Linked DNA regions of Xenopus tropicalis. The protein of the gene in region 3 interacts with the protein of the main gene of each other region in a pairwise test. Links are inferred from orthologs where the notes say so. Each region holds a gene or a part of one and is shown on either strand. Other genes may lie near its edges. The genes, in order: pbx3, nup58, pknox1 and pbx2.

What was found.
Region 1: the proteins of pknox1 (region 3) and pbx3 interact in a two-hybrid assay, tested with the Homo sapiens proteins (2 studies listed by BioGRID and IntAct). The link is inferred for Xenopus tropicalis from reciprocal best matches to the Homo sapiens genes PKNOX1 and PBX3.
Region 2: the proteins of pknox1 (region 3) and nup58 interact in binary tests that used the Homo sapiens proteins (3 or more experiments, as listed by UniProt). The link is inferred for Xenopus tropicalis from reciprocal best matches to the Homo sapiens genes PKNOX1 and NUP58.
Region 4: the proteins of pknox1 (region 3) and pbx2 interact in binary tests that used the Homo sapiens proteins (3 or more experiments, as listed by UniProt). The link is inferred for Xenopus tropicalis from reciprocal best matches to the Homo sapiens genes PKNOX1 and PBX2.

The regions. Positions count from the first base shown.
Region 1 is NC_030684.2:27,662,156-27,667,885, forward strand, and holds the start of pbx3 (pre-B-cell leukemia transcription factor 3), read right to left. Parts: upstream 3,386-5,730; 5' UTR 3,241-3,385; intron 3,187-3,240; exon of another isoform or gene 2,558-3,186; 5' UTR 1,571-2,557; coding exon 1,374-1,570; intron 1-1,373. UniProt on the Homo sapiens protein: Transcriptional activator that binds the sequence 5'-ATCAATCAA-3'.
Region 2 is NC_030678.2:156,327,420-156,332,404, forward strand, and holds part of nup58 (nucleoporin p58/p45), read right to left. Parts: intron 4,294-4,985; coding exon 4,228-4,293; intron 3,789-4,227; coding exon 3,614-3,788; intron 3,344-3,613; coding exon 3,264-3,343; intron 2,032-3,263; coding exon 1,913-2,031; intron 1,152-1,912; coding exon 1,069-1,151; intron 498-1,068; coding exon 273-497; 3' UTR 1-272. UniProt on the Homo sapiens protein: Component of the nuclear pore complex, a complex required for the trafficking across the nuclear membrane.
Region 3 is NC_030678.2:316,101-321,883, forward strand, and holds the start of pknox1 (homeobox protein PKNOX1), read right to left. Parts: upstream 3,307-5,783; 5' UTR 3,201-3,306; intron 1-3,200. UniProt on the Homo sapiens protein: Activates transcription in the presence of PBX1A and HOXA1.
Region 4 is NC_030684.2:73,505,957-73,511,640, reverse strand, and holds the start of pbx2 (pre-B-cell leukemia transcription factor 2), read right to left. Parts: upstream 3,793-5,684; 5' UTR 3,340-3,792; coding exon 3,137-3,339; intron 1-3,136. UniProt on the Homo sapiens protein: Transcriptional activator that binds the sequence 5'-ATCAATCAA-3'. Activates transcription of PF4 in complex with MEIS1.

The DNA.
Region 1 (5,730 bases), on a different chromosome or scaffold from region 3:
CACAGTACAACTAGAAATAGACAATGTGTGTGATTATATGTTTAAGATAAACAAAAATTATGCCTTTCACTTAGCTATAAATAATGAGGAGACTGCCTGAATTCTTTTCCGTTTATGTGACATTACCACTTCAAGAAACAATAATTGCATTTTATATACACTGATTTATCAGCCCTATCAAAAACAGTTGATAGATTGCCATATGCAGGCTATTAATTGCCATCAACATTTTTCAGTTTGGGGGAACTAAGTCACACCTGCTACAGTTGCAAAAACTGATTGACACTTTGGATGCGGTGCTTTTACTATGAAGGGTTTACAATATTTAATGTTTACTCACATGTCAAATTAGCTTGCTATTATTCAAAATATAAATCAGTCCTTGTCTGCAACAAGCTGCTTCTAGCCACATCTAGTGATTTATTAAAAAGAGCTAACTTTATCACAGCTATACATTTTCTGCACTTGATTTTTTACAGTTCTCCTAATTATATCATAAAATATCCATCAGATGCATGCAAAAAAACCACAATATTTATTTGTAAATATATGTGAGGAAATGGGGAATGTATTCACAAAATTAATGTACACTGTACTCATAACATCAAATCTCAATATATATATATATATATATATATATATATATATATATATATAGATATATACCCCCACACACATATTGTCAGGAACTAAGCAGCAGTTGGGTAGCAATTAATGACTACATAAACATTTTCCTTGATGTGCGTGTCCATATATACACATACACATGCCAATTTATAACACTCCCCCTAAAAGGCGCTTGAAAAGAAATATTTACGTGGCCCTGGAAGTAGATCTATAATTAATAGACAATATATGGATTAGAACCAGAAAATGGTATGCCTTTTTTTGTTGAGAAATGAATAAACCTAAAGAGGCATTTATAGGAAACACTCTGTTAATACATAGGCCAGTAAAAGACTAGTAATTTCCATCATAACCACATTTATTTATAATGATTGTTTTTCCCCCATATATAGGGACAGTGTCAACCCCACTGGCAGAAAGAGAAAGGACTGGAGGGGTCCTGGAAGCTACATTTACAAGCACCAGGGGAGAATCTCTACATACAAATAAACAAGAGCCTGGTTATAGCTGCGAGCTGTGTTTATATCAGTTTGCTAGCGTGGGCATCATCTCACCCCCATGCAAGCAGCTTCGAGCAGCATCTCAGACACTGCTCATCGCTACCCAAACATGTGCTGGTTTATTTGACAAACAGCTTGTAAGAAGTTGTTCACTCCAAGATGAACTGGAGTGATGTGCTGCTGTGATGTGTTGGGAGGGAAAGGGGTGATGTGTGTGTGTGTGTTTTTATTGCAGTGGAAACCAACTTTGCTTGTGCCTCATCCAAGCTTTGATCAGTTATGGTCATAATCTGGTGCAGGATGTCTCCAATGTCCTGCTTCCTGCCGTCACCATCTCCCCCATCGTGACCATGGGGAGGAGGTAAAGTCATTCCCCCTTGAACCGAGTGGCCAGCCATGGCCACCCCAGCCAAAGTCTGCATCATCCTGGTCTGTTCGTCCATACTCTTCTCCGCAGCCTAATCAATGACAACACAGACTGCAAGGAGACCTCACAGCCAGTGATAGCACCGCTGTGGGGTTACTGCCCCACACATCAACAACGTCAACCGTCAGAATCCAACCAGATACCCAGTCTCTATGGACAGAGCAGTTTTAAATCAAGGTCTGTGATAGTATTTCATCCCACCAATGTAAATACCATCCAAATATCAGAACCACAACATGTAGGGTTTCATAAAAATGTATTACAGGTGCGATCGCCTTCAGCAGCTAAAATCTTTTTATTTTAAAAATGCTCTTTCTGAAGAGGTCAAGTTTCTTTTTTTTTTTATTCCAAGAAAACGTGGACGAGAAAAGGGGGCATATTAAAAGTTGCAAATGAAAGTCAGCATCTTCTTCTGTCTGTATTTTAATCTTCAGGTAATGACAGGTCAGTCAGAGTTTACTCCAAAATGACGGCACACACAGCAGAGGCATGATTTGTGTTTACTCCTTTCACATAGTGTTAAGTTTTCAATAGAATAACAAGTGAGCACCTGGTTCTGAGTTCTTGAAGTATTACGAGCTGCTGTAAATTCAGTCTTTATTTCAATTCTTTTCAATTCCAACAATGCATTCCAAATGAGGAAAATAAATCTGCTACAAAGATGTTCAAATGTAGCACAAACCTCTACGTCACTATAAGTACTAGTGACACATGTTCCTTCACAGCAGTTCCAGTCGTGTTTTATTATTAAAAAAAAAAAAAAAATCAAGTTTCTATTCGGTGCTTATCCCATCCATGCATTTTGGCCAGCATAGAAATGAATTACATTCAGACTATTTTGATGAAAAGATCAACGCGTTTTCAGCAATGTCCACGATGGTCATTTATTGATCCCTTTTGATTTTTTTTTTTGATTTCGGACCAGGGTTTTCCAGTCAATCCTTCATCCACTTCTCTGAGCGAGCGCTGCCAATCTCCGGCTGCTCCGGTAGTATTCTCCTTTCTAAGAGAAATAAATAAATCAGTGACTGATGGTAGCTCCTTTGCAGGGTCGTGTCCAACATCAAATCAGTAGTAAAAAAAAAAAATAAATAAAAGAAAACTACAAAATTAAATATTTGTATAGAAAATCTAAATGAAAGTTGTGCCCAGGGGTGGGGGGAGAAGAAGCAGCAGCAGCTTGAGCTATTAATGGGAGTAATAAGATAGAAATGGTTAAGGTGCCCGGTGTGGGGAAGATGATGATGATGATGATGGTGGCTCAGAGCAGCAATCAAAAAAAGTTTTTTTTCCCCTTCTCGGCGGCGGCGGCGGCTAAGGGGAGCTGAGGGGAAGAGATGGATGGAGGGGCCGGTGCCGGGACTCCCGGGCGGGATTTATGGCTGCTTCCCCCGCTATTTCGCTCTTGCCGGCTCCGGTGACGGATTGACAGGCTGCCAACGCCACTCACTCACTGCGGACGTGTCAGACTTTGAAGGAGGGGAGGAAATAAAAAGGGAGACAAAATATAAATAATGGAGGTAGGCTCCTCCTCCCCGTGTGCGGGGCCCCGAGAAAGGAAAGGGGGAGGGGCAAAGGGCGGCGCTATTGTCGCTTCTCCCCACTCTCCTTCTATCCCCCGCCCGCTCCCCACTCGCCTCGGAGAAATGGCGCGGGTTTGGCGGTTGCTAGGGCGCTGCGACGCACCTTTGCCGCCGTTGCTATGCGAGGTGTGACAGGTAACCAATGGCCTGTCTGAACTTTGCTCTTCTTCCTATCATCGTTAGCCGGTGAAGGTGAGAGCAAGGTAGGTTGCCGCCGCGTAGTGTTCCCGCCGGTCCAAACACTTTATGATTCGTGAATTGGAATGTTCATACTCATACGGTCATTTTTCTTTAGTGGGCGGGGATTGGGCGGCTGGTCCTCCTCTGGTTTCCATGGCAGCGGGCAGGGCGGGAGATTGAGGGATGCTGCGAGTGAGGAGAAAGGGCAGCATCAGCTCCGCTCTCGTTGCTTCTCAGTGAGGAAAGTGGCTGCCCAACTCGGGTAAAAGTTGTCGTTGAACAGGGTTTTTGGAGTTTAGTTAAGCGTGAGTATCCTGCAGGCCCACCTGGTATGAAGGATATATAAACAACATGTTACCTGGTTATGTTGCATAATGTTATTTTTTTTTCAAACAAAACAAGGTATAAATGGTGAGAGAAGGAAGAGAGTAGTAGAAAAGCTTACATTTTATGCTCTCATTGGAACTAATAAGGCTGCTTAGGCACTTACATTGGTAGGTCTCAAGTATCTCCTATCTAGGCAGGGGGTCCCCCCCCAATGTCCAACCATGGCTGCCATATTTTGGCCAACTTTGCTGGACATCGTCTGGCTAGTTATGTCAGTTTTAGCCGCTGCAATTACCATTGGCTCCAAAACTCAACCCAGGCTAATGGTAAGGTAGTGTTGAACATAGGGCTGGGCGATATACCGTTTAATACCGAATACCGGTGTTGTTTTTTTTAAACTATATTCATTTTTCAGATACCGCAATACCGGGGTGTCAGGGTACTCACCCGTGCGGCCCGTTGTCTGCGGGACATTGCGCACAGGCGTCCAGGTGCGCGTGCGTCAAAGCGCACGTACATATCAAAGCGTGCACGTCCATGATGCGCTGATGGCGCCGGTCCTGCGCATGCGTGGGGGATATTTAAAGCTATCAAACTCCTCCTCCTGTGCTATGTTGTCTGCGGCCTTGCCTGGGAAACTAAGCCTGCCTGATTTACCTTACGACTTTCTGTTGCCGATCCTTCGCTTGCCTGACTCTGATTTTCAATACTGCAGTAATTATTCTCTAATTTATTAGGAAATGGGGTTAACACCTAATCATGCATGGAAAAAAAAAATACCGTCAAATACCGTGACACCGATATAATTTTGAAAAATGTTTGGTCATACCGCCCAGCCCTAGTTGAACAACAGAATTGTAAGCAAGTTGCCTGCATGTATAGGTGGCTATATTGAACCCTATCCAGTAGTTTGCTTTTCCACATTGGTAGATGAAAGTTAATGAGGTACCCCAGCGAAAAGTATTTTTGAGCAATAAGGCTAGTCACATAGGGTTTATTGGGCCCAGACCATTGGAGGGGGGGTGGAGCCTTGTACCCTGCTTGCTTGCTCCAATGAAAATACCATCCCCCTCATTCACGCACAGGGCCCTCAGGCCTGCTCACTTGCACCCAAGGCACATGCCTCTGCTGCCTTCCACTAGTTGTGGCCCTTCCCCTGCAGCTGATTCAGTCAAACACTGAAGAGTGGTGTAAACGTGTGCCCAGATCTAGAATTCAGTGACCTACCAAATGGGAGTTTAGGGGGCTAATTAAATTTTAGATATGACAAAAGAAAATAAAACAGCTTTTTTTCATCAAAAACATGATGCACTTCTTAGTGGTCCATCCCTTACCCATTAACATAGTGACATATATACAGTATAAAAACATTGTACAAGCTATTACTCCAGATATCACACTGACCGGCCATACAGGCTTCCAGGAGTATGTAGGACAGTATTTAACACATATAACTTAACTAACCCAAAATGGCCTTCAACCCTGTTACCCCAGTCATTGGGTCATTCTAGTCTAGGGCAATGGTCTTTTTCAGTTCAAACCCTCTAGTGAATTTCTAAGTTCATAACTTTGTTGTTAGTGAACATTATGAAATCAGGAATCTGCCATGAACACCCAAGGTGGCTATACATTGTCTGATCAGGAATGTTCACAACTGATCAGATAGAGTTCAGCTCACACAGAGTGCGTCAAAGGGGACATCCACTCCATGGCTGCCTTTCTGTTGTTTCAATCATTTGGGTAGACAACCCAATGATCACAACAGCAGGAAGTGAAGCAACTGCAGTACTTCTCCACTTGCTCATCTGCTGTTGCACCATGCGGTGACTGCATTAGTGTAATAATAGAGGAAACAGACCCTGCAGCCACGGAAGGTCCGTGGAACAGGGGGACCCAAACCGTGGGGCCTGCTTCCTCTATTGTTGCATATAAATCCCTGCTGGCTCTCAGGTAGGTGGGTGGGGGGGGTGGACACCTGCGGGTGGGGGAAAGGAGCCTGGAAAGGTTTGCTACTCTGCGCTGAGCCCCTTCAAAGATTTTTTTTGGGGGGTGCAGCACAGTGTAGTTACTCCACTGGCTGGCTGGC
Region 2 (4,985 bases), about 160 Mb from region 3:
AAGTGCTATTGTTTTAAATATTAAAAAATAAAATGGAAACAAGCAGGTGCAATTGCTGCTTTAAGTAGAGATGAGGCAATACTATTAAAAAATGATATTGTAGTCACACATGTATCTACTTCTGAGTTATTATTGCTCAAATATAACCCCGCATATTCTAAAAGCTTTATGTAGTTAAAAAAAATAAAAATAAAATAACGAATGTTTTGTCAGCATAAGACGACCCAGTGTAAAAGTTGACAGGAGTTTACTGAGGTCAGAACAGAAGAGATCTATAACTTGAATGCATTCAGACCTGTGGTAGGCTGCTGCTGTTGCGTTAATGTTGCAGCCATGGCAACGGCAGCGGCGTTTGGTATGTTGCTGAAAGGGGTGGGTCCGGTGGTAACACGCGGTGCACTCTGCCACTTCTTCGCTTCTGCTCGCCTCGCCTCAAAGACATCTGCTGAGTCGCCCAAATATGCTTTCCGGTAGCCAAGGTACTGTTCTTTGAGCATCTGAAGGAAAGCCATTTTAGTTTGCACTGCTAAAGGCACATAATGGAAAGCAACTGGAAAGGTGGACACCATTTATAAGATCCCCTTATCTGTAAAGTCATTTCCTACAAAGTAGAAACATTGACCCTTCATACAGGCATTATTATATGTAAGTATGTTCAGATATTCAGGAGCTACATATATCTTCTGGTGCTTATATATGATTTTATATCAAAGAGACAATGCCAGCAGACCACTCAGATTTAGCTTGGAATTTTAAAAAAAATATATACATGAAAACAATAACCAAAAATTACAAAACTCAAGTCGGACCAATATGTACAATTGTGAAGGGGTGGAAGTTCTAATTATTTAACAGCTTTGCTCATTTGAAAGTGTTGGATTTAGCACTCAAGTTCTGGCTTTTATACTACGATTTAACCAGTGAAGTCAAAACAGACATTGAAATTACAAGCACTGCATTTTAGAATACTTCTTATATCCAGGTAAGTTTATGAACGTATTCAGTACATATTCTAGTTGGTATCCAATAGCGTCTCAGAACACAAGAAAAATTATCCTTATCGCTTACCTTAACATTTTCATTTACTGCCTGGAGCTGGGCAGCTAAGGCCACAAATGTTTGGTAAAGCTTCTGCATTGCCAATGACAAATCTAGCATGAAAAACACAGTACTGATTAGGAATGGCTGTGTGTGGTTGGTAATACATTACAAACACATATAAACATGAACAACATAAAATGCAACAGGTAAGAACATAAAAGAATACAAACTCGCCAGTACCTAGATTGTCTACAATGCCTTCTCCCTATAAAGTGGACTATCTTGTTGTATTCTAGTTCTAGATCATTTTAGTACTAGGTTCTATTCCAGTCAGATCGAAAACACAAAGCAGCCTAACACTTTAAAACACAGTCAGCAAACCAATAGGACGCCAGGCACACAAATGGCTATACTGTTGGATTTTGAGGATACAGGCTAAGGAACAGTCGACTATTTTTTTTTTTTTAGTATCAAAGTAGTCAGCCAGATCAGCAGGAGACAGGGGCCAGGCCTAGGTAACTGTTCTAAATTATATTACATTAAAAATTCTAAAAATGCTGCATATTATTAATTGATGTATATCGCAATTTTGCAAGCAGCTGTTCAGCGCAAATCGCATTTGAGAAAAGCACCCAGCACCCTCTTGCAATATGTTTTATACTCTTTGACCAAGAAAATGAATTGAAATGGATCTGCCTCCAATGAGTTTAAAAAGCATGACAGTTCTCCACAGTGAGTTCTTCCATTCCTGTGTGCGTCTGGAAAAAGACATTCACTTTTGTCTCTTATAAACAACACTGACATACAGGAATACAAGTTTGTAAATGCACAGATAAATAAAACAGTAACTTATGGGACTAAATCTGGTTACCTTGGGGAGACAAATGTGAACTATTTGACTGTGTTGCTAGATGATTCTCCAGTTCCTCAATTTGCTGTCTGTATTGCTGTAACTGGACCTCAAACTGTTGCACCAGTGTGTGAAAATAACTACCAAAAAAAAAATAAAAAATTAACAAAATGGTACATGCGCCACTAAAATCATTAGCTAAAACAAAGGGGAGAAGCTGTATGATGTCAGTAAAGCTGATCATGAACCAAAAGATCTGCTCGCTTGGTTGGCCAAATCCAACTGCTTGGCCTTAGGGCCAACAACTGGATCATAATAGGGGCCATTGTAAGATGGTTGGTATTTTCTGATAGATATTTTAACTGTATTTTCTCATACATATGCGATTTAACTAACAATTTGGTCTTCCTGTGTATCACCAGCTTAAGTAAGGTCATGGAACCACTGCACACAGATGAAGGAAAAGCTAAACCATTTACTGTTTGGAAAAAGAACCCTTCAAATGATGCAATCAGTGCTCTAAAGCAAATGTTAGGACTCATCTATATAGATTCATTGTCCTTTAGCGGACAATTGCAACCAGAAAAATCAGAATAAATTGCCTTAGCTAGGCAGATGGTAATTTAAAGTAAACATTCGTAACATAGCTAGAAATGAGAATTCAATTTTATACCTGGGAGGGTATAGTGGACAATGATATTAAGGTAAGCTTTGTGTCATCACCCCAAAATGAACACATTCGTGCTACACAATTATAGGAATTGATCAGGGTCGGACTGGGCCGGCGGGACAGCGAAGGGCCAGACCCGTCCCCCGGCCAACCGTTGCTCCCGACGCGTTAAACTTATGCGTGCTCAGGGGAGGACGTCAGGTGGAGGACCCTGCGGGGGTAAGAGAGGCTCAGCAGGGGGCAAGGGAGGCTCAGCAGGGCCCCTGGGATGGCAGCCCCGGTGGGCCCTGCACCCCCCAGTCCAACCCTGGAAGCGATAGAGTGGAAGTTGATAAGTGCAATGACATCTAGGAAATGTTTAAAGTTTAAGTAATTGCCCATCCTGACCTGTATGCCTGAGGCATAGAGGTGGGGCAGGCAATACATGATTGACATCTTAGATTTTTAAATACTATTATAACAGGCATGGATGTTTTAACAAAAACAATTTGAGTTTTATTTTTAATTGGAAAGGACTTATTATACATCTCTTTATTGTCTGGGTGACAGGACCCTTTTAAAACCTCAACCTTGATGCCAAGGGTTTCCAAACCTGGTGCAAACTTTGCATTTTTATTAGATTACAGGACATGTTTTTCTTTTATGTGGCTTTAAGAAAACCTCAGGTGGCACGATCCCAAATAATTGTTCAAATAAACTTACTCGGCTGGAGCAGTATTTTCATGCTGAAGTCCAGGAGGTGTTTTCTGTGTCCTTAAAGCTATTTCAGCATTCTTAAGTTCCTAAAATAAATATAGAAAACGAAAAAAAAACAAAAAACTAGAAAATATAAAACAATATGATAAAACACTTAGCAGGGTCTGTACTGTCTAGCAGTTAGAGCAGACATACTGACCTGTATACAATTCCAACCATTCTTATACCCAATGCATTACATTATTCAGTTTTATAAAATATTTGTGAGCAAGATGTTTTTTAGACTGAATATCTGACCCAGTATTTTTACTGCATTATAGAAATTTACTCTGAGCCACTGCTATCATTAAGAGTACCTGAGCTGTTTCAATTTTCAGCTTGTCAATAGCCAAGGAATTCCTTTGGAGGCCGCTGGATGCAACAGATAAAAGCTGTCTTAATGCCTTAATGTCTTCCTGTACTTTCAGCATTGCTTTGGAGGACATTCGGCTGATCTCTTCCTGGACTTGTTTCTGCTCCTTCACAAATTTCCTGTGAACCGAGAAAACAAATGTCACCAAACAAGGAATCAGTTTCCAGAGCAAAACTTTGAGAAATCAGGAACATTCAATTTTTGAAAACACTAATTAAAAAGAAAAAAAAATTAGGAACCCTGGGGGCATAAGTGCTCTGTAAGTGAGCAATAAGGGACACTTGCTTGTGCTCCAGGATATCCACCCCCCATGGATAGTGAATAATCCCTTTAGACATTAACAAAAAAACAGAATATGAACGGTTACCCACTGTGTGACTGTTTTTTTTGTTTCATGTAATAACCAACACATTGTTAATATGTTATACATGAGCCAAAAAACAATGCACTTACAAAGGAATGCATCTACGGAGAGCCATTCCATGTGGCTCTTATCTTTTGCCAGCACCTATGAATGCACCACTGATGGATTTATCAAAGTTTTCCGCCCATACTTACTGGAAATTTTCTACATCTTGACATAACAACTGAGGTAGATTGTCATCTTTAAATGCTTTGCTATCCCTGTGAAGAAAATGAGGCAATGAAAACACATAGTGTAGATTAGCTTATAAATGCACAAAGTATCAATGCTTCTGGTTTCACCTTGGTGGGGTCTAAATTTAGTAATTAATATTATATAGAAATTCTTCCAGCACCGGTGGCTTTGGGATAGAAGCACAGAACAAACAGTAATTTTATTATATGAGATATATATATATATATATATATATTATATATATACACACACACACACACACACACACACACACACACACACACACACACAGTGTAGTATTTTTGTCTTTATAAAAACCCCTCCGTGAAACGTGCTCAAATAATCGTGTTCAGTGCAAAAGAGGGAGCTTACATAAACTTTTTATAAACCAAATACATCCCTTGTTTCTTAACAGAAAAAATTAAGGAGTGCAGCAGCGATCTTGTGGAACTAAAACTCCAAAATGGATTGGAACTTTCTAAATAAAAACAATGCAAAATTCTGTACATCTCTGAAAATAATCAAGTTACTCTGTCTCTCTTCATTCCCTTTTTATGCAGAAGTCTGGGTCATATTTTGATTTTGGCAGGTAGGTTTAATACATCTTTTATTATTTTGGCAGGTAGGTTTAATACACTCCCTTTCCTATCAGATGTGTTAGAGCTAACAAACAAAATAATTGACTTTGGCCTTTCAATCAAAACTGACTCCACCTACT
Region 3 (5,783 bases):
TGCTAGGCTGGGGGGGGTGTTTAGTAATCTGAGCTTAGAACAACTGAGCATGCCCACAAGCCAGAAGTCATAGCAAATTCCTGAGGGGGGGGCGAGTGGGTTACAGGAAGAGAAGGAAATCTAAGTGATTAAGGGGATGTTGCAGCCTTTCTATTAACCTCTGGGCACCCAGTGGGGCAGGTATTGAAAGATTTCAAGGAGGCTTTTCACTGTTAAAATATTTGTGTGTGGGGGGTTTACATGTTCTTTAAACTCCACCCTCTATTGTACATTGGGGGGGGGAGAACTCTCTGTCCCATCCCTGAGACCCCTCAGGCTGAACCCGAGTTTCTCCCAAAAGGAAAGTAAAGAACATTCTATGACTGGGTTTCTCATGGTCAAAGGACCCACTGTGTGTCCTAAAATAATAGTTGATCCCTACTCAGCAGGTCCGGTTACCTTAGGCCTATCCCTACTCAGCGGGTTTGGTTACCTTAGGCCTATCCCTACTCAGCAGGTCCGGTTACCTTAGGCCTATCCCTACTCAGCGGGTCCGGTTACCTTAGGCCTATCCCTACTCAGCAGGCCCGGTTACCTTAGGCCTATCCCTACTCAGCAGGTCCGGTTACCTTAGGCCTATCCCTACTCAGCGGGTCCGGTTACCTTATGCCTATACCTACTCAGCAGGCCCGGTTACCTTAGGCCTATCCCTACTCAGCGGGTCCGGTTACCTTAGGCCTATCCCTACTCAGCGGGTCCGGTTACCTTAGGCCTATCCCTACTCAGCAGGCCCGGTTACCTTAGGCCTATCCCTACTCAGCAGGTCCGGTTACCTTAGGCCTATCCCTACTCAGCGGGTCCGGTTACCTTATGCCTATACCTACTCAGCAGGCCCGGTTACCTTAGGCCTATCAATACTCAGCAGGTCCGGTTACCTTAGGCCTATCCCTACTCAGCAGGTCCGGTTACCTTAGGCCTATCCCTACTCAGCGGGTCCGGTTACCTTAGGCCTATCCCTACTCAGCAGGCCCGGTTACCTTAGGCCTATCCCTACTCAGCAGGTCCGGTTACCTTAGGCCTATCCCTACTCAGCGGGTCCGGTTACCTTATGCCTATACCTACTCAGCAGGCCCGGTTACCTTAGGCCTATCAATACTCAGCAGGTCCGGTTACCTTAGGCCCATCCCTACTCAGCAGGTCCGGTTACCTTAGGCCTATCCCTACTCAGCAGGCCCAGTTACCTTAGGCCTATCCCTACTCAGCAGGCCCAGTTACCTTAGGCCTATCCCTACTCAGCAGGTCCGGTTACCTTAGGCCTATCCCTACTCAGCAGGTCCGGTTACCTTAGGCCTATCCCTACTCAGCAGGCCCGGTTACCTTAGGCCTATCCCTACTCAGCGGGTCCGGTTACCTTAGGCCTATCCCTACTCAGCAGGTCCGGTTACCTTAGGCCTATCCCTACTCAGCGGGTTTGGTTACCTTAGGCCTATCCCTACTCAGCAGGTCCGGTTACCTTAGGCCTATCCCTACTCAGCGGGTCCGGTTACCTTATGCCTATACCTACTCAGCAGGCCCGGTTACCTTAGGCCTATCAATACTCAGCAGGTCCGGTTACCTTAGGCCCATCCCTACTCAGCAGGTCCGGTTACCTTAGGCCTATCCCTACTCAGCAGGTCCGGTTACCTTAGGCCTATCCCTACTCAGCAGGTCCGGTTACCTTAGGCCTATCCCTACTCAGTGGGTTTGGTTACCTTAGGCCTATCCCTACTCAGCGGGCCCGGTTACCTTAGGCCTATCCCTACTCAGCGGGTCCGGTTACCTTAGGCCTATACCTACTCAGCAGGTCCGGTTACCTTAGGCCTATCAATACTCAGCAGGTCCGGTTACCTTAGGCCCATCCCTACTCAGCAGGTCCGGTTACCTTAGGCCTATCCCTACTCAGTGGGTTTGGTTACCTTAGGCCTATCCCTACTCAGCAGGTCCGGTTACCTTAGGCCTATCCCTACTCAGCGGGTCCGGTTACCTTAGGCCTATCCCTACTCAGCGGGTCCGGTTACCTTAGGCCTATCCCTACTCAGCGGGTCCGGTTACCTTAGGCCTATCCCTACTCAGCGGGTCCGGTTACCTTAGGCCTATCCCTACTCAGCAGGTCCGGTTACCTTAGGCCTATCCCTACTCAGCGGGTCCGGTTACCTTAGGCCTATGAGTAGGGTCAGCAGGTCCGGTTAATACCCAGCTAATCGGGGAATGTACCAGGTGTCGCTGAACCCCACAAAACTGTGGCCCCAGGAATCCCATTTTACAAGTGGAACTGAGTGGGGAAACTAGGACAGACAACCTTTAGTGTGAGGAATAAAATGGGCAGAAATTAATATATTTGGTTTATGAAAATGTGGATTTTTAAATTATGTGTAAAAAGTGGACTTTTACCTCTGTCCTCTCCAACAGAACTGGGGGCTTCCCCACCGCTGTCCCTCAGGCCTAGTCTGTCTATACCCCCATACATGTGGCCCCACTCTGTCTATATATGGGCCCCCCCATACACACACTATACCCCCATACATGTGGCCCCACTCTGTCTATATATGGGCCCCCCCATACACACACTATACCCCCCTGTGTATATATGGGCCCTGTATATTTGGGCCCCACCATAGCCTACTGGTAGCCCCCCCCACACACAGGGCCCAATGTTGCCCCATACAGCCCATGAATGTCTCTCAGACTGACACAGGGCCCCACACACCAACATGTCACTGTGTACATATGGCCCAACATATATATATCATCCCTCAGTACTGTGCCCCTCCCTTCAGCACTACCCACTCACAGATTGAGCCCCCATACCCCGCCCCCAGCAGCTGGCCCCTCCCCGCGCGTTCCCTACATTCCCTTCCCTCCCCAGTAACAGTTCCCGCTCAGCGCCGATTGGCCGATAGAGAAAGAGCCGGGCGCGGATAGGCTGCTCAGCCCATGTGACTACAGACAGGGGTGTGCGCGCACAGGCGGGGGGGAGGATGAGGGAGGGTCCGGCGGCGCGCAGTGCAGGAGAGCGGGTGGGTGCGGGGGCGCGCACAGCGGAAAGGGGGCAGCCTGGCGGTGTCGGTAGGGCCCAGTGGGGCTGGGAGGGGCGCTAGCGGTGCCCACAGGGGGCGCGGCGGCTGCCGGGAAGCAGCGGGAGTAGAGCGGGCGGGCGGGCGGCGCTGTGACTGACACATTACCCGCTGCCAATCTTCGTCACACTGACAAGCGGCTGCAGCAATCGGGACCCGCAGGGGCGCCTACGTCATCACGTACCACGCCGCTTATTACCATGCCGCCCTTTAGCGCCACACGTATGTACGCACCGACCGCCCACTTCTGAGTATTACTCTCATTGGCCCCGCCCTGCGGGTTCTACTGAGGCCCACTTTGCGCCAGTGTGGGAAAGCGAGGCGGGAAAGTGCCCCCTGTGCCCAGCGACTTTGCGCCAGTGTGGGAAAGGGAGGCGGGAAAGTGCCCCCTGTGCCCAGCGACTTTGCGCCAGTGTGGGAAAGCGAGGCGGGAAAGTGCCCCCTGTGCCCAGCGACTTTGCGCCAGTGTGGGAAAGCGAGGCGGGAAAGTGCCCCCTGTGCCCAGCGACTTTGCGCCAGTGTGGGAAAGCGAGGCGGGAAAGTGCCCCCTGTGCCCAGCGACTTTGCGCCAGTGTGGGAAAGCGAGGCGGGAAAGTGCCCCCTGTGCCCAGCGACTTTGCGCCAGTGTGGGAAAGGGAGGCGGGAAAGTGCCCCCTGTGCCCAGCGACTTTGCGCCAGTGTGGGAAAGGGAGGCGGGAAAGTGCCCCCTGTGCCCAGCGACTTTGCGCCAGTGTGGGAAAGCGAGGCGGGAAAGTGCCCCCTGTGCCCAGCGACTTTGCGCCAGTGTGGGAAAGGGAGGCGGGAAAGTGCCCCCTGTGCCCAGCGACTTTGCGCCAGTGTGGGAAAGCGAGGCGGGAAAGTGCCCCCTGTGCCCAGCGACTTTGCGCCAGTGTGGGAAAGGGAGGCGGGAAAGTGCCCTCTGTGCCCAGCGACTTTGCGCCAGTGTGGGAAAGTGCCCCCTGTGCCCAGCGACTTTGCGCCAGTGTGGGAAAGCGAGGCGGGAAAGTGCCCCCTGTGCCCAGCGACTTTGCGCCAGTGTGGGAAAGCGAGGCAGGAAAGTGCCCCCTGTGCCCAGCGACTTTGCGCCAGTGTGGGAAAGCGAGGCGGGAAAGTGCCCCCTGTGCCCAGCGACTTTGCGCCAGTGTGGGAAAGGGAGGCGGGAAAGTGCCCCCTGTGCCCAGCGACTTTGCGCCAGTGTGGGAAAGGGAGGCGGGAAAGTGCCCCCTGTGCCCAGCGACTTTGCGCCAGTGTGGGAAAGGGAGGCGGGAAAGTGCCCCCTGTGCCCAGCGACTTTGCGCCAGTGTGGGAAAGGGAGGCGGGAAAGTGCCCTTCTGTGCCCAGCGACTTTGCGCCAGTGTGGGAAAGCGAGGCAGGAAAGTGCCCCCTGTGCCCAGCGACTTTGCGCCAGTGTGGGAAAGGGAGGCGGGAAAGTGCCCCCTGTGCCCAGCGACTTTGCGCCAGTGTGGGAAAGGGAGGCGGGAAAGTGCCCTTCTGTGCCCAGCGACTTTGCGCCAGTGTGGGAAAGCGAGGCGGGAAAGTGCCCTCTGTGCCCAGCGACTTTGCGCCAGTGTGGGAAAGGGAGGCGGGAAAGTGCCCCCTGTGCCCAGCGACTTTGCGCCAGTGTGGGAAAGCGAGGCAGGAAAGTGCCCCCTGTGCCCAGCGACTTTGCGCCAGTGTGGGAAAGGGAGGCGGGAAAGTGCCCCCTGTGCCCAGCGACTTTGCGCCAGTGTGGGAAAGCGAGGCGGGAAAGTGCCCCCTGTGCCCAGCGACTTTGCGCCAGTGTGGGAAAGGGAGGCGGGAAAGTGCCCCCTGTGCCCAGCGACTTTGCGCCAGTGTGGGAAAGGGAGGCGGGAAAGTGCCCTTCTGTGCCCAGCGACTTTGCGCCAGTGTGGGAAAGCGAGGCGGGAAAGTGCCCTCTGTGCCCAGCGACTTTGCGCCAGTGTGGGAAAGCGAGGCGGGAAAGTGCCCTCTGTGCCCAGCGACTTTGCGCCAGTGTGGGAAAGGGAGGCGGGAAAGTGCCCCCTGTGCCCAGCGACTTTGCGCCAGTGTGGGAAAGGGAGGCGGGAAAGTGCCCTCTGTGCCCAGCGACTTTGCACCAGTGTGGGAAAGGGAGGCGGGAAAGTGCCCCCTGTGCCCAGCGACTTTGCGCCAGTGTGGGAAAGGGAGGCGGGAAAGTGCCCTTCTGTGCCCAGCGACTTTGCGCCAGTGTGGGAAAGCGAGGCGGGAAAGTGCCCCATGTGCCCAGCGACTTTGCGCCAGTGTGGGAAAGCGAGGCGGGAAAGTGCCCCCATGTGCCCAGCGACTTTGCGCCAGTGTGGGAAAGCGAGGCGGGAAAGTGCCCCATGTGCCCAGCGACTTTGCGCCAGTGTGGGAAAGCGAGGCGGGAAAGTGCCCCATGTGCCCAGCGACTTTGCGCCAGTGTGGGAAAGCGAGGCGGGAAAGTGCCCCTCTGTGCCCAGCGACTTTGCGCCAGTGTGGGAAAGGGAGGCGGGAAAGTGCCCTTCTGTGCCCAGCGACTTTGCACCAGTGTGGGAAAGCGAGGCGGGAAAGTGCCCCATGTGCCCAGCGACTTTGCGCCAGTGTGGGAAAGCGAGGCGGGAAAGTGCCCCATGTGCCCAGCGACTTTGCGCCAGTGTGGGAAAGTGCCCTCTGTGCCCAGCGACTTTGCGCCAGTGTGGGAAAGCGAGGCGG
Region 4 (5,684 bases), on a different chromosome or scaffold from region 3:
CCTTCAATGGCGCCCGATCAAAATCTTTTAACCCGCCCGATCTGCAAGTCGTTCGATATCTGCAGCCTCCTGCGATATTGGTCACCTCACCGAAATGCCATACACGCACCGAATATCGTACTAAATGAGGTTTCGTACAATATTATCGGTGCGTGTATGGCCAGCTTAAAATACACAGACAGAGAAACTGTCCTGTGTGAAATGAGCATAAGTGCATGATGAAATAGGATGGAACAATGCCAGTTAACATCACATACAACTGAATACAAAAGTACAGTAGCTCAGCTAAAACAAGAGTATTTCCTTGACAAGTGACTTTGGGAACCAGTAGGATATTGTATCCACCCCTCTTTAACTAAGCATAAACTAGAAGAACAAATATGATACAATTGTAACAATCTTACACAGTATAAAAAAAAAAGAAGTCCTTTTATGTATTTATACTTTCTTCAAACGAATAGAGGATTACATCCTCAGCTGAGACATTTTATACATAAATTATTAGAACAGATAACCTATACATAAGCGCCAATGATGCTCTTTTGTGGGGAATGCATGTATAAAGGTAATTATTAATAAAACGGATATTTTGTGCACAAACAACAAGCTAGGGCACCATGCATTTTCCTCTCCTTCAAGGGAAAAATTCATAGAATACATTAACAAAAAAGCCAGACTATTCTATATTAGAAATATCAGCTATGGTAAATGTGTGAGTTATTCACTGAGAGGCAATATTTAAAAAGTCTGATATAACAAATATTTTTTCATTTTCCAAGGGAATTAATTGGATTAGCATGACTGTACCATTAGATAAAATGCACCTTCTCAAAATAAATATCCATACAATTGTACATTTATGGGCTGCCAGAGGTAAATACCAGAATAGCAAGATTGATGCATGAAGAAAAGCAAATTGTAGGGCCTTTGAACTTTTCTATTTTCATAGGGAAATAAGATGAAATTACACCCAGTAAGACTGCAGCATACAGTGCTATTAGAATCACAAAAGCCTTAAAAGCACATCACAGATTATAACAAAAGCCTGTGTTTTCCCTAATCGTGTAATGTCAACAAGATCAACTAAAAGCCAGGCAATCTGTAGACTTAGCCTTTTGCAGTGCAAAGGACTCAATTATTGACTTGTATTATACTTAGAAAGTACAATTACACAGAGTAGCTTAATAGTAATAAACATAGCTGTGGTTACGAGTAATGGAAGTGCAAGGCCTAGTGAGCAGCATGGGATAAATGACATCATTCTGGTTGTGTTATGAGCTAATCAATGTTCTTATTAAGATGCAGTTTATAGGGTAGATTAAGTGCAGTGATTATGATGTGTATTTATAAGGAATGTAGTAGTAGTGCAGAAAGGAAGGTATGAGGTGTTCTTATGAATTCTGGTAGCAGACAAAGGAGTTTATTTAACCAGTGCTGTTCCAGAAAGGCCCTATTGCTTTGCAGCTGCTCTAAAGTTAACAGTTTGGGAATCCAGCACATTGCAGAGCCTATCCAAATGCACATGGCGAAAATAAAGAATCCATGTTGCAAAGGTTACAGTTAATTTTATAGAGCACTAACCTTAAATAAGCATTAGGTTGCTAGAATTGTTTTTATATACGCGGGATAAGTAACAAAAGCATAGCATATTACAGTGACTGATAGTACACAAACCATGAGTGGCTGCATATGTTTAGGCCTACCCTACACAGCAGTACAGCAAAACTCTGGTTCTGTTTAGGGTACAATAATGGGTCAATGTTTGTCCCTATGATCCACTTGGATACACTGAAGATTCTTACAACTGTCATGAAAAGATACTGAATTTGGTTTCTGTCGAAGAAGGTTAAAGAAATTTAATTAAACAAAGAAGGAACATGTGGACATGAAGCTTTGTTCACAAGGGCTTAAATTCTAAAAAAAATAATTATTAATTTCCCATTGACTCTGTACATATATTTGTATGACCAGGGTATATATTTGTGTGTCATCTATTTTTACAGCACAGTGGTACACAAATATCATACAAGACCCTTACAATATATCTACAGTAAAGGACCACATAATGAATTAATTGGGACTGAGGGTTCTGTTCCCCCTGATTGTCCAATGGAAAGAGTAACTGTTGCTGCTAAAGTAAGAGGATACATTTTTGAGAAAGTTAGGAGGCAGACATACTTGTTTAACAAGGGGAGGAGCTTGAAGATAAACATACAGATAAACACACACACATATCTATCTATAGTAACTATGTTACTATGTTATACATCTAATATATGTATTTATCATATATCCAGGAAAAAGATTTAGTAGCCCTGGCAAAGGAAATCCTTAGATGTCAACCCTACAGCTGCAGCTTACACAGAATGTTTAGAATCGTGCATTTGGTTACATTATTACATGTCACTTTTCCGCTAAGCAATGGCAAGGCATAAATGATACAATATAACTTATGTTTGTGCTGTACTAAGGAAGCAAAAATGTAAATGGCTTTTACTCTTACAGCACGAACAGATGTTGCTTGGGCCTAACAGCATCACAAAGGGGATTTAAGGGATTTCTAAACACTGAGTTTTAAAAACAAATCAGCAGGAAGTGTGTATAAAGCTTACACTTATAACATTACTTGAGTTTTCCATACAGATTTAGAATATCCACTTTATACAGGATTAAGTATAAGGTTATTGTACAAAATTCACTAAAATGTATTTTGGTTGAACTACAACTCACTGAAACCCCAACAGCTGGGGGAAAACAACACCTGGAGGGCTTTAGCATGGTCGTAGGTTTATTTCTATGGGTACCAGAACCCCTAAGTACTTCTGTATGGCATGATTCCCAACATTGCTTTAACTGGACTACAACTCCCAGCATCCTCCAGGGACCACTCAAAAGCTAAAGGATACCGGGCATTAAGTTTGGAAGTGAAAGGCTTGGAAACTGTGCTGTGTAGGGAGCTGCTGGGCCTGTTTTAGTGGAAAGAAGGATTCGGCGTCGGGTAATGGGCTTCCTGAGCAGGGATTGGTGGACAGAGGGGAAAACCCACAATTGCAGGCTACCATACACACGGAGCAGGCTACTATACACACAAAGGCCTCTCCAGCACCTAACGTTACCCCCTCCCTCTTGTACTCACTTTGCCTGGGCTTCATCAAGGCTCTGGTCCGTGATAGTCATGATCTGTTGCAATATGTCACCGATATCCTGTTTCCTGGGCTCCCCATTGTCTGCCGGGGGTTCATGCATAGGATGAGGAGTGAGAGTTTGGGGCCCCCCATGAATGGGGTGTCCTGGAATCCCCACCCCCCTGGCCTGCATCAGCCTGCCTTGTTCATCCATCTGAGCACCAGCGAGGGATCGCTCTCCTGTTTTTATGTGTGTTTCTCACTTGTCCCCTCAGCTCTGTCTCCTTGTACAACTCCCCCTGCCCTTCATAGAACTCTCCTCCTGCCCCGAGTAGTCCCGTCCTGCTCTACTGATCGCTCTGTGCTTCCACCATGCGATTTGCTCGGAAGGAATTCGCCTCCTCTCCCAGCAGCGCCTACGAAGCCCCGACTGTAGGCAGTGTATACAGATCGCGCCCAGGCTTCCTTTCTCCTCAAGTGGCTCCTCCGATAGATCGCTCCGTGTTGCACTGTCCGACGCGCCTGGGCGGCTAAATCGCTAAGACTCGGACAGCTCAGTCCGGATGATTTTTGGGGTGGGGTGCAATCCTGCTTCGCTTTTTTCTGGGATCCCTAAAAAAAGCCAGTAGCGCTGTATTGAAGCTGGGAAAAGAGGAGTGTAAAATGGTGAATAGCTAGGGAGGGGGAGGGAAAGGGAAGGAGGAGAGAGGGAGGAGGGAGGAATGTGCTTGTCCTGCCTCTCCCCTTTCCTAGGGAATCACAGCTCACTGCTGCCCCCTCTCGGCAGCTCCCTAATGCTTTACTTGCTGCGCCGGTCTGCGCCCTACTGCACTCTGGCCCTTTAGATGTTTCTAAACTACAACTCTCACAAAGCTTTTTCAGGCTCAACGTCGACTCCATTGCTGCCTACTAGTGTTTCCTGCCCTATTTACAGTAATGATACTCGCAATATCCATCGCAAGGTCGTTGTCCAGTGAAGTTTTAATCGAACGCTTTAAACGCAGAAATGTCAAATAAATGTTTGCATTATTTAATGCTCCCCAGTTATGTGACTTGACCTTATTTATGACTATTTACTCTATTCATATTCCTCCATAAGACTATTCATAGTTCACAGTGTAATGTGAATTTTACCCAGCATGCATAGCAGTTGCTTATACGTGTGCCACAAGAAGCCTTCCTGGCTTGACTTATTTTCCTGTGGGTATGGATCAGTGGATGTAAGGTAGTTCCAGAGGCATAGCGGATAATGCGCCATCTGACTTGACTTCCTAAGTCACTGGTCCCCAACCAGTGGTCAATTGCCTGCGGTATCATGGGCGGCTAACTCCCTCTGTGGAACATTAGCCTAAGGACAGTGGCACACAGGGAGATTAGTTGCCCACAATAAATCTTTACTTTTGCGGGCGACTAATCTCCCCAACATGCCATCCCACCAGCAAGAATGTAAATCGCCGGTGGGATGGCATATGCATCGCTTCGGTTGCTCGAAGTTGCTTTGCAAGGAAACTTCGGGTGACTTCGGAAAACGTAAATGACACGTTTGTCATACCGAAGTTTCCTTGCGAGGCAAATGGTGAAGACACACAGAGCTATTTAGTAGCAGCTACTTTTCACGGCTACTAAACACCAGAAAATACACTGCCATAGACAATACCAAGAATTGCCTCTGCTAAAACACACGTAAAGAAAATTATCAGTAAATGATCAGCATTGTCTATTTCTGTAGCCATGACAAGTAGCTGCTACTAGTAGCTCCATGTGTCATGGGTTTTCACCCTAAGCTATCTTGGGTTTTCCTAGGTTGCATGAAATTATAATAAATAAGTAACCAAAACCTTAAAAAAATTGATAAGGATATTTTGGGAGCCGATGGACAGAGCCAGTGTCACTGTATTTCTACTATGTGTAGGCTTCCATCATAATTGCCAACACTTGAAATTAATTCCCAGGGAGACTTTGTTTCCTGTATGTATGACATAAATCGTGTGCATCTGTGTGTATGGGCCATATTCAGCATATATAACACATCAAATGCGCATTATCATTTTTTACACATCTACATCTTACAGAGTAAAATTAGAGATTGCAATTTCATGAGATTATAGATTACTGGTAAATACAAAATCAGTGCTGCCCAACTTCTTGCGAGTATATGTGTGTGGTAGGATGATAATATACTGTAAAATACAAAGAAATGTATGACTCCCATGGCCCCCAAGGTAGGCCAAATGCAGTCCAAATGCCTTTATCTGTATAACAAAGGGAGATTTGTCGCGGGTGACTAATCTCCCCATGTGCCATCCCACAGGCAAGAATGTAAATCGGTGGTGGGATTGGCATACAGGGCGCCGCGATTTTGCCGAAATTTCCTCTCAAGGCAACTTCCACGATTTGGGGGAAATCGTGGCGCCATCGTATGCCCTCCCATCGGCGATTTACATTCTCCCTGGTGGGATGACATTTCAAGGGAGAGATTTGTCGCAGGCGACTAGTCTCCCCGTGTGCCAAAGCCCTTACACTTCTTTCAATGGAAGTGTCAGAAGGAAAGAAAGAACT